4 linked regions of the Macaca mulatta genome follow. The protein of the gene in region 1 interacts with the protein of each later gene in a biochemical or structural test. Links are inferred from orthologs where the notes say so. Each region holds a gene or a part of one and is shown on either strand. Other genes may lie near its edges.

Region 1 (3,008 bases):
GTGGTGGGATAAGGGTGAAGTCCAAATTTTCATTAACTTTCTAGGCTTACAGTACCAATACAAACCACACAAAATTATCTTTCACTATTCAGAAGGCAATTTCAGAATCTTGCCATGTGCCTCAAAGTAATTAGCAACAGTTAACTACATGGTACTAAAGGCATAATGGTAGCTAACATTCACTGGATGCTGATATGAACAAAGCACTGTTTCAGGTAACATACCTGTACCCCATTAAAACTTTTTAAGTAGCTACCATAATTTAACCCCACTTTACACATTAGGAAACTGGGGCCCAAGGTCACACAGCTGGTTAGTGGGGTAGAGCCGAGACTGGCACTTAGGTGCCTGAAGTCTGGCTGCAGAACCAAGGCTCTTAACCACTAGGCTATGAAATAGTAAATTTATTATTTCATTGTGCTTTTTTAAAGAGGTGAAAAGTGGTCAGCATTTTAGTCATTCTCCTGACAGTTGTAAGAATCAAAATGTGGGCAAGAGGGGCAGAGCATGGGAAAGACTGTAATCCAGAAGCCATATACCCAGTTATTTGCTGTGATTTAGAGTATAACTCTACCACACTTAAAAATGACAACACACAGCTTTCTGCTATATAATTAAAGTACGGAATGAAACAGGAAAATAACTTTGGATTTTATCAAACTTAGAGCTAAAGCAGACACAGTAAGATTTTTTTAATTTGCCAGAAATTCTTTTAATGAGAATTATAAAAGACCAAAAACATTTTTTTGCAAACTGCCTTTTTAAACAAATGATTTGCTTTTAATTACAAATACTGTGCATGACGATGCCTTCTTTTGCAAAACCAATAAATACAAGAACAAATTTTAAACATGTGATTTATCCAAGATATTTGAAAAAGGAAACAAAAGCCTGATTTGCAGTACTTATAAAAATCAATTTATTCTCTAACCTTTCAAAGATTAAGCTCAAAGGTGTGACTCATCCGTAGAAGAGAGAAAGAGAGAGACCATCTTACAGATGCTTTAAATAGCTTTTGATCATTTTTCCGATGTCACCTTTACTTTCTGGAACTCATAGCTTCACAAAGTAGCTGATTTTAAAATATTTCTAATGAACTGATTAATGGGGGAAAAGAAAATATTGAACACATGTTACAAACTTTTACCATAACAAGTATGCATATCAAAAGACACTAACTTTAAAATGGTACAAAAAAAGTGAAGAAAAACCTGAATTACAGAAAGGAAAGTCAAATTTATTTAATGAAAAACTAAAATTAATAAAAATTAGCAAATACACACACAAAAAAGCACACAGCAGCACTATGTATTGACTCACAAAGGGGAAAAGCAGTGGCCCATGACCACTCAAGATGGCTTGTCAGTTAAAGGAGAAAAACCCAAACACGCACACACCCACGCACGCACACACTCCCACGCAAAAACAAAACAAAAAAACTATTTTTCAACAATACAATCAATCTACAACAAACACAAAACTCAGAATTATTTTACAATGCTTCCTTTCTTAATACAAAAGATGCCCATCTTGGGTGTATATACATATATTTTTTCAGTGGTTTACTGTTGACTTATTTTTAAATATATTAGTGTTACTACATGCAACTGTTTCCTGTATTTAACAGCCTTTCCTTTCATTTACCTTCATGTGTCTAGCTTCCACCTACCAAAAGAATTTTAGGTTGGCAGGCAGATGGGTGCCTTATTTTCTGTGAAACTGAAGTTTTAAACACTGGCCAGAAAATGTTTGATTGCCATTTCAACACATGGAAATAGTTACATTGATGCCTAAATTGCCATTTTCTGCAAAAAGCTGTGCAATGCTGGTGTCAAAGACTAGGCAGTCGCTATTCATAATGGCTGTTGCAATTCCTTCATGAATAGATCGAGGAGTCGCTTCCCAAGTCAATCGTCGCCTGTGACCATTTAGCTCAAGTCGGTAAGCAAAATTTTCAGCTTGCTTGCGTGTTCCTATCAGCTGTACAATTGCAAAGAACTGCTGGTGACCATCGTATTTTTCCTGTTTCTCCAAGACTAACATGAAGTGAAAGCCAAAACAGGACTGCATCATCACCCAGTCAACAGCACCAGGAAGATTAATGTCTGTAGCAAGGAAAACTATATCCTCTCCCTGTAGGGTTGTAATGGACTTATGCTGATGCATCAGATGGGGCATTACAGCATCCAAAGAGCCTTGCCATTTACAGGAAGCACCAGGGCACGGACAGGAATAAGGCCTAAACTCACAGAGCTCTTCGTGGTCTGCTTTTTCTGTGTGTGGCAGAGTTATTTCACATCCAGAAGAGGCATATTTACAGGGGAAAAGTACTGAATTAGCCACTTTCTCCATAGCCAAGTTGCGAATGGATCCCAAAGGGCCCCGGCAAGTTGGACAACATGTGAGCTTTGGGCGACAGTTGCTACAAACAAGATGGCCACTCTGACATTGAAGAATGGGTGGTAACACATAGTCAAAGCAGACTGGACACTCAAAAAGACTCGCCAAGTCATTGTTGGATGCAGTTGTGCCAGTCAGGGCAGGTACCCTCTGGGATGGTGGACACTTCGAGGTACCAGTAGGTAATGCTGTAGCAGTCTGACGGCTCATTTCTGAAATAAATACATAAGGAGGCAGGAGAAAAATAATTATAACCATGACTTATTTTACAAATAATGTTTACATGCCAGAAGTACTTTTAAAGTTTCATGCAAAATTTACTGAGCAAAAGAGAAAGAAAAATAAATAGAATTTAAAAAGTAACATACTAAAAAATAAAATTACACTGAATGTGCACTTTATTAGGATCTGTACACTGGATAAGCTCTCTTTTCAAAATATTCCGGAAAACATTTGGAACTCCCTTAATCGTCTTTGGATAGACTACATGGAATAATAAATGCTAAAATAGAAGATGGACCATAAACAACTAGAGAAACTATACAAGGAACTGAAGTTTAATCGAATCCGTTTTGCTAGGACTCTCTCCCTGAGACTCCCTTACTCTT
Region 2 (3,868 bases), on another chromosome or scaffold:
ACAAGGAACCTTCTCAGAACATCCTTTTCACCCCATTACCTTATGTTGTTCAAGGTTTCCAGGACTTGCTCTGGGTTTGAGGACACAGTTGAAATTCCTTGATCTGACATTTAAGACCCCCAGTGACCTGGTTCCAACCCGTCCTTTCACTTACATCTCCCACCACTCACAAACTGTTCTGGCCAGGCGGGTGTCCTTCTTGTCTCCTGTAAATTCCTACTAGTGTGACTGTGGACTGTGGATGGCACGTCCCTCTCTCTCCACCACCTGCCTGGATCCTACCCATCTGGGAGGACGGAACTCCTCTGCTTCGCCTCTGCTCTGCACCCCAGGTCCCAGGGAGCCCTTCCAAAACTGAATGCCTATGCCACGGATCTTACCTGGCTCCGTTCTAATGTGACTTCTAATTGACATCGCAATGTGCACATGTCCTAATTTCCTAAGTACATTAAGATCACTTGAAGGTAAGAACTGTAGACATATAATTTTATCTCACCACAGTGACTAAGGCTGCACATTTTCTGTGAGTGCCACTCCTGTCTCCGTGTGGACAGTCTTACCTGTAATATCTAGACTGCAAGTAGGTGGAGCACACAGCCTTGGACACGTGGCTGGCTGAACCAAAGTCGATGACCTTGACTCTGTATGGTTGTCTAGATGGATCCACCAGCATGATGTTTTCTGGTTTGAGGTCAGCATGGATAAGACCTAGGCTTTTGAGTTTCATCAGGGCTGTGGCTACCTGCTGGAGAACTGGGCGAATGTATTTGAGGGGCAAGGGGCTAAACTTGTTTTGCTTCAGAAAGTCATAGAGGTTCTGCTCCAACATCTCGAAGACCAAGCACGTGTGGTTCTTGTGCTGAAAGCATTCGTAGGCCCGGACGAAGTTATAGTCATCGGCACTCTCCGTGCTCAACCGGGCCAGGATGCTCACTTCAATCTGACCTTGTCGGGCATAGGACGGGTGGTTCTTCAGGATCTTGATGGCTACAATCTCATTGGTGCCCCGTTTCCAGCACTTGACCACTTGCCCAAATGTCCCTCGGCCCAAGAACTCTAAGACCTCGTAAGTGTTGGTCATGGAGCACAGCACCTCATGCTGCACCAGCTGATAGTCGCCCTCGCTGTTGGAGCCACTGTTTTTGGAGGTGGCAGTCGACGTGGTGGCAGTGGCGACAGTGGCCCCGCTGGCATTATTCTGAATCATGGGTGGGTGCTCCTCGATGATCTGCACGCTGCTTGTGTTCTCGATCTCCTCACTCTTACGCTTGAGGCCACATTTTTGGTAGGTATCAAGGAGGCTCACAGTGCTTCGACGCATTAGGTTGTGTGGTCCGCCGAGGACTTGCCCGGTGACAGAAGTGCTGCTTGCTGAGGTGACCACGATGTGCCCGGTGCTTCCTGGGAAGATGATGGTCTGCTCGTAAGGTAGGCTTGGGTTTGGGACCGGCAAGGAGGTGCTGACGGTTGTGGTGGCTGGCTGCGACGGGGGAATGTTCTTGCTCTGGCTATACACTTTGCTGTGGGAGCCGTACCCAGTCATGTCCCAGTTGGAACTCGGCTCTATTTTCAGTTTCTTCACACTACAGAAGGCACTTGATTGAAGGGTGTGAGGGGAGAAAACTTGCACATGTGAGGCCATACCTACAAGGAAAGGAAAACGAAAAGTAAGTATCGGATTCAGCTTGGTATAAGTAAACTCAACAGATCCCCTTCAGTTCTCATCTTGGTTTGGGCCACACAGAATGTTTCCTTCCCACTTGAAAACAAGGTTGAAAAAGTCAATCTATTCCACCCAGAAGCACGTTCTGGTCACTGAGTTTATGGAACCAAGTGGTTCCAGGGTGCCACCTGCCACCATTAGGTGCCAGCAACACAGTTGAGACTCAGAAACAGAATTCCAATATCAGGACATAAGTCATCATTTTTTAAAATAAACATTATTTGTGACAGAAATGGATTCTTCTTCAGTTCTCCCTGGGTTGCTTCCTACTGAAACTCAGGAGGCTATGCTAACTGTCACATACTTTGTTGCCCACATAATCAGCTCAGCCTTGTGGACAGACCCTGTCAGGTTCACTGGTTTGAGGAAACATCTTCCCAAACAGGCCCCAACACCAGGCCACTCAGGATCTTCTGGATCCTGGATGAACCCTAATTCTAATTACCACCTGGCATCTTTGTCACCGTAAATGAATTCGGTAGGGTTGAGTGGATCAGCAGTTGGTCTGATATTTTTCATTTCAACAGCGTAAAACATTTTATTAGCCTTACTGGTGGGGACTGGGTAGCACAATTTGTGGCACAGTTCACTCACTTTTCCTGCTAAATTCATATATCAATACATTTCTCTAGAAAGTACTATTTTTTGTTGTTGTTGATGTTGTTGTTTTTTGAGACTGAGTCTCGCTCTTGTCATCTAGGCTGCAGTGCAAGGGCACGATCTCGGCTCACTGCCACCTCCGCCTCCCAGGTTTCAAGTCATTCTCCTGCCTCAGACTCCCAAGGCTGGGATTATAGGCTCGTGCCACCACACCCGACCAATTTTTGAATTTTTAGTAGGGATGGGGTTTCACCATGTTGGCCAGGCTGGTCTCAAACTCCTGACCTCAGGTGATCCACCTGCCTCAGCCTCCCAAAGTGCTGGGATTACAGACGTGAGCCATCATGTCTGACCAAAAGTACTATTATTTCATACCAACATCTCATCCACAATTTAGATAAACTTAGAAACCTATAAGACCATTATTCTGGAACACTTGTATAAATTATGGTGACACTGAAACAAAAATTCATAGAAAATGTATTAAGCAAAAATAATAAGGTAATGAAGAAGGATAACTCCTTAAAAGTTAAAAGAGTAACAAACATTGCCCATCTTCTAAGCCACAGTCAACAAACATTTCTCACAGAAGCCACAAGGAAGTGGAGCGTCTGCAAGCCCTGCTGGTGGTTGGCTAACCTAGTGTTCCTGTCTCTCTGAGCCCCTGGCATTACCTAGAGTGGTTATTTAACATGCTTTCCACTCCATCGACCATCACCCTAGCCCGCATTCTCTCTCAGTAATGACCCAACTTCCACTTTGTCCAGAAGCCTGAGGTCAGCCTTACTTTCCTCCTTTATTTCCTTCTTCATTTCAGAACATTCCTGAATCTGCATCATCCTCCTTCATTCCTTCTCTCCAGTCTGAGAGAAAGAGGTGTTGCTTTTTTCCAATACTAAAAAAGTTCCCGATTCTCATGATCCGTATTTGTCCCATTTTCTCTTGAACTTGCTTCCACCACTGTTCTTTCTCTCGTAGCTTTCTACTTCTCCCTGCACTTAATTGGATCCAAGTACTCAGTAGGAACTTAATATGGCTGGCCAAATGAATCAATCACCTCATCTTTTTCTTCTGCCTTCATGCGTGTGCACACACAAAAGCCCAATGTGGAAGGCAAAAGGAGTAACAGCCGCATTCCCCCCTCTTAATTCTTTCCCTCCTCTCACCTGTGATCAATGGTTTATGCTCCCTTTTCTTCAATGCCCACATCTTAATCCATCTCCCCCCCACTCGTTAATGCACTATAGGCTCGTGTTCTTGAAGGTAAATGACTTCCTAATTGCCTAATCCAATGGCCTTGTTTCAGCCCATTCTTCTTAACCTCTGCAACATCTGATACTGCTGACCACAACTTCCTTCTTGATGCTGTTATCTGGACTTCAGTGAATCTGTAACCTCCCCCTCCCGTGTCTGATTGCACATTGTGTGCTCAGGTGGTTCCTCTTTCTCCATTACTATTATTTTTTTGGAACAGAGTCTTGCTGTCGCCCAGACTGGAGTGCAGTGGTGCTATCTCGGCTCACTGCAACCTCTGCCTCCCGAGCA
Region 3 (4,600 bases), on another chromosome or scaffold:
TGTTTGTATTAGATGTTTGTGTGGGTTTCCCTTAAGAGCAGTAAAGTACTGCTACAATTTCTTCCAAAACAATAGCACACACAGTTTCTTGGCTTGCATTTCCACTGTACACCTGCACCAGAACAACTGTCTGGAATTAGCAAAGTTGTGACAAAGTAGACAGAGAAATGCATTTGCTTTAGTCACTTCCTTTTGGATATCAACAAATGGTAACAGTCAAATTCATGAATGCAGCATCATTTCAAATCTACTATCTGTAACCTTTCTTCATGAAACGCTTGCTATGGAGAAAATGAAATTTATACTCAAAATTATACCCCTTCTTTTCAAAATCCCATTCTGTATTTTATTCTAACTGAGATGTCCAAAAGATTCTTAAGAGAAGCACTATCTTCTACTTTCTGATTCCAGACCTGTTAATGCATACATATTTAGTTATGGGTAATCCTCAGTTAATACTCCCTTTCTAGAGAGACTTCCGCGATCAGTACCAAAATACAGCACCTTTCAAATAGTCTTGAGGACTCCTTAAAGGTGTCTCCTTGTACTCTAACCATGCTGAATGTAATTTAACATTGAGATGCATTAGAAACAGCCAACAGACTTTCTCTCCCAGATGTGTACACATTAGCATACTGCTTTCCTACACCTTGTTCTTTGCTTTTTAAATTTTCAATATGTACAAATGAAATACAGATTTCAACCCATTCCCAATTGAGATGTCTGCTCCATAAAAGAAAACTAGGTTTTTCCCTTCCTGCAGATTCAGCAACGAAAGTAGTGCTTGAAAATTACGTGTTTAGAGTGACACCTTGGAGAACTGACATACTTTGCACACATGTAATCCTCATAAACCTCCCCAGACAGCCCTTATTTCATTTTGCAAACTGCACCCTGGCCAGGCTCCACGGCACGTGGTGTGTGGCGAGACTGTCCTGCAGCAGTTCTCTCTTCCTCTGGGCTCTTTGATGGGCACTTGTCAGTAACAGCCAAGAGGAATCGGACCCTGCCTCCAGCAAGTGAAAAAGGGGCACCGACAGTAATGCTTCCTTAATTAACTTTCCCAAGGAAAGCAACGTTACCACAGGAAAAAACAACACGTTTCCCCCCTCCTAGAGGTCCATTGAAAATGAGCAACAATGCTGTTGCCTTTTTGTTTCCTAAGACTTTCTTCGCTGCAAGCAGTAGCGTGTTCCTCAAAGAATGCTAGTATTTCCTGTGGAAACTGTATGGCTGCCAGTAATGGCTCATAATTTTCCCTCTTTTCTTTTCGTAAAAATGAAATAAACAAAATGTGGCCTTTGACAATAGCCAAAATTGGGTTCACCCCACTTACCACCTGCAGATGAAAGTCATCGCCAAGAGAGAAGGCCAAGAGAGAAACAGTCCCCGCTGAAATTGACGCGGACCAGCCTGGGACGCAGGACAGCATTAGAGGGAGGCTGACAGAGCCCGGGCTGGACAGGGCAGTCGGGGAGCCCGTGCTGATGAGCGAGGGGCGGCAGCAACACCAGACGTCCCTCTTCTACAGCTATTGCTACCGTTGTTAGTACCGTCGCTATTACTATTACTTCGCCCCTCCTTACCTCAGCTCTTCCGAGCCGCGGCACTGCCCATCCCTGCCTGCGATACGATCCCGGGTGGCAGCAAGAATAAGAACCACATGAGGCAGGCAAATGAAAAGAACAATCCTTTGGAAACCGAGGCGGGGGTTGTTTCCCCCTTTCCCCAGTAAAACAGCCGCTGCCGCCACCACTGTTACTATAGAGACCTCCCCCCAAACCCTTTCTGCAGAGACGCCTCTGCTGTCCCAAGCAGCCGAGACTCGCGGCACAAAGGGGGCCCCGGGCTTGGGGAGCACGGGGCGACACCCGCCAGGGTCGCCTGGTGCAAACTTGGAAAGGCTGAGCCGCCAGCTCCTCGCCCCCCGCCTCCCCGCGGGGTCCGTTTGGGACCTGGACTCACCCGGGGCGCCACGCGCGCCGGCGGCTCAGGAGCGCGAAGGGACTGACGGACCGACGGACGGACTGCGGCGGCGGGAGCAGAACAGCCTCGGCGGGAGCAGGCGAGCGGCGGAGGCGCTGCCGCGGCCCCGCTACGTCACAATGCGGCCCGGCCGCGGGCGCAGCTCCCTGGGCCCCCCAACGGGCGCGCGCGGGCGGGGGCAGCCTGGGCGGCCGCCGGCCGGAACCGGCGCTGGGGTACGCGGAACGCAGCGCGGGCGCCCGGCCGGGGACGGGGGCGCGGCCACCACTGCCACTGCCGAGGCTGCTGGGGCTGCCGCGCCCTCAGGCTGCGCTGCGCCCCTGCGGCCGCCCCCCGGCCAGCGAGCCCAGCTCAGCCTGACTGACAGTGACCCTCCCCGCTGGGCCCCCGGCCCGGCCCACGCCCCTCCCTCGCCGCTTCCTCGCCCGGGATCCCCCGGCCTGCCCGCCGGCTCCTGTTCACGAACCTGCTCTTTCTTTACCTTTCGCTCTTTTTACCTCGACTGCCGTTGCTTTTCCCCAACTGGGGCTCTCCTCTCCTCCCCGCCTACTTTTTGTCCCCGCTTCCCACTTTTCTCCTCCTGCCCCCCCTTCCTTGCTTCGCGGCCTCTCCCCCTGGAAATCGCCCCCTCACCGTGATCCAAGCGTCAACCGCTGCCATCTCATTGGTCCCCAGACCATTCCAGGGTTCCAGCATAAACCGGGAGAAGAGACTCAGGAAGGCGGGGAACGGAAGGTGGGCATGGCCCTGGGAAACTCGTGTCTGAGAAGCCTTTTGGCAGAGTATTTTGCGTTGGCACGGAGTCGTCACCCCCACCCCTCTCCCCGAAGCTCGCCCACCCCTGAGGACGTGGCCAAGGAGAGGAGGGCACGGGTGGCTTTGCCTGCCTGGAATGTTCTGTGCTCAAGTGTGGGTGGATGGAGAAGATCTTGGGCTGAAATAAAGACTTTTTAATTCAACGACGTTTCAATGTACCAATGGCCCTACAGTAATATTAACTTTACTTTTATTGTATCTTAATTGTTGAGGGATTGGGGGTGGGAGGCTGCTGGATGAGGAGTCAGCAACGCCTGCAGTGGTGACTACTTCTTTCCTTATTTCCGAAATGAAATCAGGGGTTGTGGAAGCATTTATGGTAACCTTGGCTCACGACTGTCTTGCTGTTGCCCTCTGGAAAGCTTTAAATGATCTTTGAGAAATCTCTTTCCCAGGCGAGATGACTCGGAGAAGTTCACTCAGCAAAGCCATTGAGGACCACACTCTTGTTCCAGGGTATGACTGCTTGCCTGATGCTGCCCCAGAGAAAAGCGTGAGGAAGTAAGTCTTGGTCAGTTTAGAGGCATCTTCATTCCCTTGCCAGTTCCAGAGGACAAGAGCAGTGCCAAGATCCTGGGACACCCGGCACTATCTGGGTAGTAGCAATGGGGATGTGTGATCTTGTTACAACAAAAAAGGAAGGCTCTGGTTGTTTAAAGCTGGGGTTTCCTGAATAACTAGCCTAAGACTGCCTTCAGTCTTTGTGGAGTCCACAGGCTGCGCTGTACTAGGAGGGCATAGGCAGAGTAATGCTTGCCCTGGACCTGTTTGGACCAGGACCATCGTCACTGAAATGAGGACTACCTTGAATGCCAGCGGAAGACATTTCACATGTGTCTAATTCCATTTCCTACTGAAACCTAAATGTCTTTCTTGGCTGTTGACATAAACAGCCAAGATCATGTCCTGTGCTGTTGTAATTTGTTTATTGTAATTTATCGTGTGTAAGACTTAAGTACATACATGGAAAGTGGCTTCACAATTTTAAAAATACACATTATCCCCCAGTAGAAAATATAAAATTGGATGACATCATGTGGCACTAAAAATACTTGAAAATATTGGGTTTGATTTGTTCACATCTGGTTAAAATAAAACTGCCTCTTTTTTTTTTTTTTTCCTAGTGTAAATTTTGAGAAAAGCACATCTTGCTTTCATCCAGTAGATATGGATGGGATTGGTGTCACCCTTGACATGATCTACAGAGAACATACTTTATTTCCATTCTCTTAAATATTTTGACACCCTGTTTTTGAAAATCATTTTAATTTATTGAAGGATTCATTTACTGAAGAATTATAAATGGTCATCTCCTTCCAACTGTCCTAAATATTCATTAGCTCTGGTCGAGCCAGGTGTTAATTCAGTGTAAATGATTCAACAAGAAGGGGCCTGATACTGCTGTATGTACAGAAAGTGGGTTGTCCTGGGAAATAAATAAAGTGTTTTTTGTTGTTGTTGTTGTTGTTTTTTTTTTTTTTTTTTTTTTTTTTTTTTTTTGCATAGCCAAGGGAATAGCATGCCACAGTGTAAAAGAGCAATCTTTTGAGTTGTTGTTTCGGATATTTTCCTCTATTTTTTATAGTTCTTTTGTTATTTTTTTTGGTTTCTAACATGTTTTTGATTACATATTTAGCATTGTTTCCATGTGATTGTTTTTACAGTGTGATTTAAATCTAGGCTTATATACACTTTCCCACATAGGCTGTGTGTTTGCTTTCCTTGGACTGTTTATTGGTTTGCTTCTCCTGTACATACCCTTGCCAAATTCTAACTACAAATTGATATACCAAAGTGT
Region 4 (3,868 bases), on another chromosome or scaffold:
TGGCCACTACCCTGCCCAGACACAAAGACAGTCCAGGCTCCACACAACAGCTTTGGAGGTCCCCATGAGCCAACACAGTTCTGTCGCCTCTAGTAATGGCCAGCATGGGGAAGCCTGGCCATCCCTAGCTGGGGGAAGCACTCACTGCTTTGTCAGCAAACTTGGCCTTGCTTCCTGCTGCTGCCTGGTGCCTTCCACATCCTCCTCCTCCTCTGTCTCTGAGCTGATCTCCATCGTTGTCCCACTTACGGGCACCCACCATGACCCTCCAAGGGTTAGAGTCCTTCTCCTGCCTGCTCTACGAGTCATACCTCTCACCTGCACGGGCGACTTCCCTCACAAACCTCAGGTCAGGCCTGCAACAGAGGCGGGGCCTGGATTCTTAACTTCCCTTTCACACTTGAGGAAAGCAGATAGAAGAGGATGCTCTTTGCATGGATTCATGAGAGAGATGCCAAAATCTCTCCCTACCATCCCCGTCTCTCCTGTCACATATTGCTCCTATTGTCAGTGTGTCTTGACAGCAAACTGTTAGAATCATTTAGGGCAAGGCTTTTCTTAACCTCCTGCAGATCTTGTTACAATACAGCTTCTGGCACAAGAAGTCTGGGATTTTGCACATCTAATCAGATCTCAGGGGACTCCAATGTGGCCAGTCCAGGGACCAGAGTTTGAGTAGCAAGATTTTAGGGTGTTTTTGCATAGAATGATAGAGCTGGAAATGGTCTCAGAGGCCTTCCAGCCTTCCAAAATCCGGACTGAGGTGTAAGCCAGTGGTCCCTATCCCAGTGTCCTGAAACCAGACAGAATCCGGGAAAGCCTCATTATTCCCAGCTTTCAAAAATCCAGATGGAAATTCTACATTTCCCAGTCATACACCTGTACAAATCTATTGCAACTATAGGTTTATTTGCTGGGGAATAGAATTACATCCACTCAGCACCACAGCAGGTCTTATCTCTGCTGATCAGGAGTGTGGACTTATAGCTCTAGACAGCTTTGATGAGTTAATTCACAAAATGGCAAAACAAATAAATTAATTCTTAATAAATACCGTTTGTTTGATATACAGAACTTTTCAAAGCAAAACGTGGGAATGATGAAAAGGGATAAACAATGAAAGGAATCCTTGGTAATGAAATGGCTGGAAACCATGAGTCCTCCACCCACCACCCTCTCCCCAGGCTCCCTGACATGGAAATGAGGTGCCTGGGAGAGGGAGTTGGATTAACTCCTTCTTATCTATCATCATCCAGCCTCCAAAATTGGTTTGCTGGGTAGCAGGTGGACCTGGGATGGAAGGGCTCCTGCAGGCCTTTCATAGAAGGTGCTTGGAGGCAGGGGCAGGTGCATCAGGATGACACTGGACCCTGGAGGGAAATGGAGGAGACAAGGTGGACCAAAGCAAGCTCCACCATCGAAGGTGGGCTCTGGGACTGCTGAAGGCCAAGCTCTACTTCTCACGGTTTCCCTGGACTGGAGCTGAATACAGCTGTAACCACAGGTCTTTTTGCCCTTGAACACTTGCAAAATTCCCATTCCTTTAGTCAAATAGGCACCATTAATATAAATCTATTTCCTCTCCTTCCTTCACTCCCGGGGGAAGAGGCTCTTCCTTTCCCATCAGGCCCTTAGTTAATGTTAGCAGATTTTGATATGATGATAATAACTAATACATATTAGTGATTTCTGTATGCCAGACACTGCTAAGCCCTCCACATGTATTATTTCATTTGATCCTGACAATGACCCTTTTCTTGGTATTCCCATTTTACAGATGAAGACACTGAGGTTCAGAGAGTTTTAAGTCACTAAACCCAGAGTCACATAGCTAATAAGTGAAGGGGCAGGGATTTGAACACAGGCAATCTGACAATAGAGACAGAACTTTAAAAAATCACCCCACAAGTGGGTCTGACGCCATCAAAAATATCACCTGTTGTTCAGCCTAGAAATCTTCTGTTAAGTCCCATTATTAAGTGAACGATCACTCCCTAAGTTATCTGAATAGAAAGGAAAGCCTGGTTCCAACACAAGACCCCATGTAGATCTCACATGGTACCCCATTCACTAAAAACTTCAACTCAACACCAAGACTCACTGCTTGCAGGGAAGCTGGGGAGATTTAGAACAGGGAATCAGAGAAGACCTCCCCAGTCCTGAGGAGCAGAAAGGATGACAAGAGAGGCTGTGAGACATCTTTGTGAAAGATATTTCAGCAAATGAGAATCAGAGCAGGCCTCCGTGGAGGACAAGGCAAGCTTTGATGACCTGATTATCCTGAGAATCAATAGCAAGGAAGATCAGGGTTGGCAACTCAGCGCTGGTTCTAAAAGGGTGCACTCAGCATGGGCGGGTGCAGCTCTGCCTTTGTGTGACGTACCGTGACATTGGTGATGAGTGGCGGAGAGGCATAGGTCAACACTGAGGAGGGCCCCACCACCGTGTAGCTGGGGCACACGGGCTGCACATACATGTCAGCTGAGTAGGGACAGCTGACGGCTTCATGGGGCACATACTCGGTGTAAGGTGTCCATGGGGCCAGGGGCTGGAGGGTGGCCGGAGTGGGCTGGGAGAGCCAGCCGGCACACAGAGCACCCTCCTCCGTCACTGCAGATACAGAGCCTTCCATGTCCAGGCAGGAAGGACCTGTGGGAAGAAGGACATTTCAGAACTGCAGATGCCACCCAGATGAGAGGCCTGGGGGCCACCAGGGCTACGGGGCACTCTTACCCACTGTGGTGTAGGTCGCCAGGGGCTGATGGGGCAGCACCACCTAGAGGGGAGAGGAGACCAGGGTCAGTGTTTAGCCATTGCCAACTGGCCCTGTGCAGGGAACTTGTCCAGAGGGCCTCGGGGCAGGAGAGTAGAAGATAGGAAACTCTCTGGTTAGAACAAAACACCCCACCCGGTATCCCAACCATCACCACCTACACTTGAGGGATTTGTGTTTCCATTTAGCAGGAAGTCTGTGTGCTCAGGGAGCTGGTGTCTTCCTCTTCTCAGGGTGAGCCCCCAACTCACACCAGGGTATATGAGTCATTCGCTCACTCAGGCCTTGACAGTAGCTGTGTTCAGTGGGCCAACTGAGCCAGTCCCAATCCCTCATCCCGGTTGCTCCACCCTGGCTCTATGCCTGGCAGCCTCCACCATGCGACCTGCACTCCTTCCTGCCTGATCCCCTTGGTCACCTCCCAACCCGTCTGCCTGCACACACACGCACACACTCTCACACACACACACACAAACACCACTCTCACATGCACACACTCTTACACTCTCTCTCACACACACTCACACACACTCTCACACACACTCTCACACACACTGTCACACACATTCACACATACACTCTCTCACACATACTCTCCTACACTCTCACACACTCCCTCATACACACATACTCTCTCACACACGCTGACACGCACACACACACACATTCTCTCTCACACTCACACACACTACTCTGTCACACTCACACACACTCTCACACACGCTCACACATACGCTCTCTCACACATACTCTCCTACACACTCTCTCACACACTCCCTCATACACACATACACTCTCACACACTCTGACACACACACACACATTCTCTCTCACACTCACACACACTACTCTGTCACACTCATACACACACACTCTCACACACTGTCACACATACGCACTCACACACTCTCTCACACACCCACACACTCCCTCACACACACATACACTCTCACACTATCTCTAACACACACATTCTGTCTCACACACACACCCTGTCACACACACACACACTCTCACCGCCGTAGGTGCAGGCGCTGCCCCGCTGCTGGCGTGGCCTCGCTTCCTCCTCAGCAGTTCCTTCACTGGCTCCTTCAC

What was found.
Region 2: of the proteins of SIAH1 (region 1) and HIPK2, one has a biochemical effect on the other in vitro, tested with the Homo sapiens proteins (4 studies listed by BioGRID, with this or other methods). The link is inferred for Macaca mulatta from reciprocal best matches to the Homo sapiens genes SIAH1 and HIPK2.
Region 3: the proteins of SIAH1 (region 1) and SNCAIP form a complex in vitro, tested with the Homo sapiens proteins (2 studies listed by BioGRID, with this or other methods). The link is inferred for Macaca mulatta from reciprocal best matches to the Homo sapiens genes SIAH1 and SNCAIP.
Region 4: the proteins of SIAH1 (region 1) and POU2AF1 form a complex in vitro, tested with the Homo sapiens proteins (2 studies listed by BioGRID). The link is inferred for Macaca mulatta from reciprocal best matches to the Homo sapiens genes SIAH1 and POU2AF1.

What each region holds. Positions count from the first base shown.
Region 1 is NC_133425.1:43,773,332-43,776,339, forward strand, and holds the end of SIAH1 (E3 ubiquitin-protein ligase SIAH1), read right to left. Parts: intron 2,613-3,008; coding exon 1,762-2,612; coding exon of another isoform or gene 1,659-1,761; 3' UTR 703-1,658; downstream 1-702. Other genes in the region: LONP2 (lon protease homolog 2, peroxisomal), read left to right, coding at 1,659-1,778. UniProt on the Homo sapiens protein: E3 ubiquitin-protein ligase that mediates ubiquitination and subsequent proteasomal degradation of target proteins.
Region 2 is NC_133408.1:179,551,907-179,555,774, forward strand, and holds part of HIPK2 (homeodomain-interacting protein kinase 2), read right to left. Parts: intron 1,645-3,868; coding exon 561-1,644; intron 1-560.
Region 3 is NC_133411.1:131,301,089-131,305,688, reverse strand, and holds the start of SNCAIP (synphilin-1), read right to left. Parts: upstream 2,888-4,600; 5' UTR 2,620-2,887; intron 2,602-2,619; exon of another isoform or gene 2,453-2,601; intron 2,368-2,452; exon of another isoform or gene 1,966-2,367; intron 1-1,965. UniProt on the Homo sapiens protein: Isoform 2 inhibits the ubiquitin ligase activity of SIAH1 and inhibits proteasomal degradation of target proteins. Isoform 2 inhibits autoubiquitination and proteasomal degradation of SIAH1, and thereby increases cellular levels of SIAH.
Region 4 is NC_133419.1:112,099,002-112,102,869, forward strand, and holds part of POU2AF1 (POU domain class 2-associating factor 1), read right to left. Parts: coding exon 3,791-3,868; intron 2,777-3,790; coding exon 2,734-2,776; intron 2,650-2,733; coding exon 2,384-2,649; intron 1-2,383. UniProt on the Homo sapiens protein: Transcriptional coactivator that specifically associates with either POU2F1/OCT1 or POU2F2/OCT2. It boosts the POU2F1/OCT1 mediated promoter activity and to a lesser extent, that of POU2F2/OCT2. It recognizes the POU domains of POU2F1/OCT1 and POU2F2/OCT2.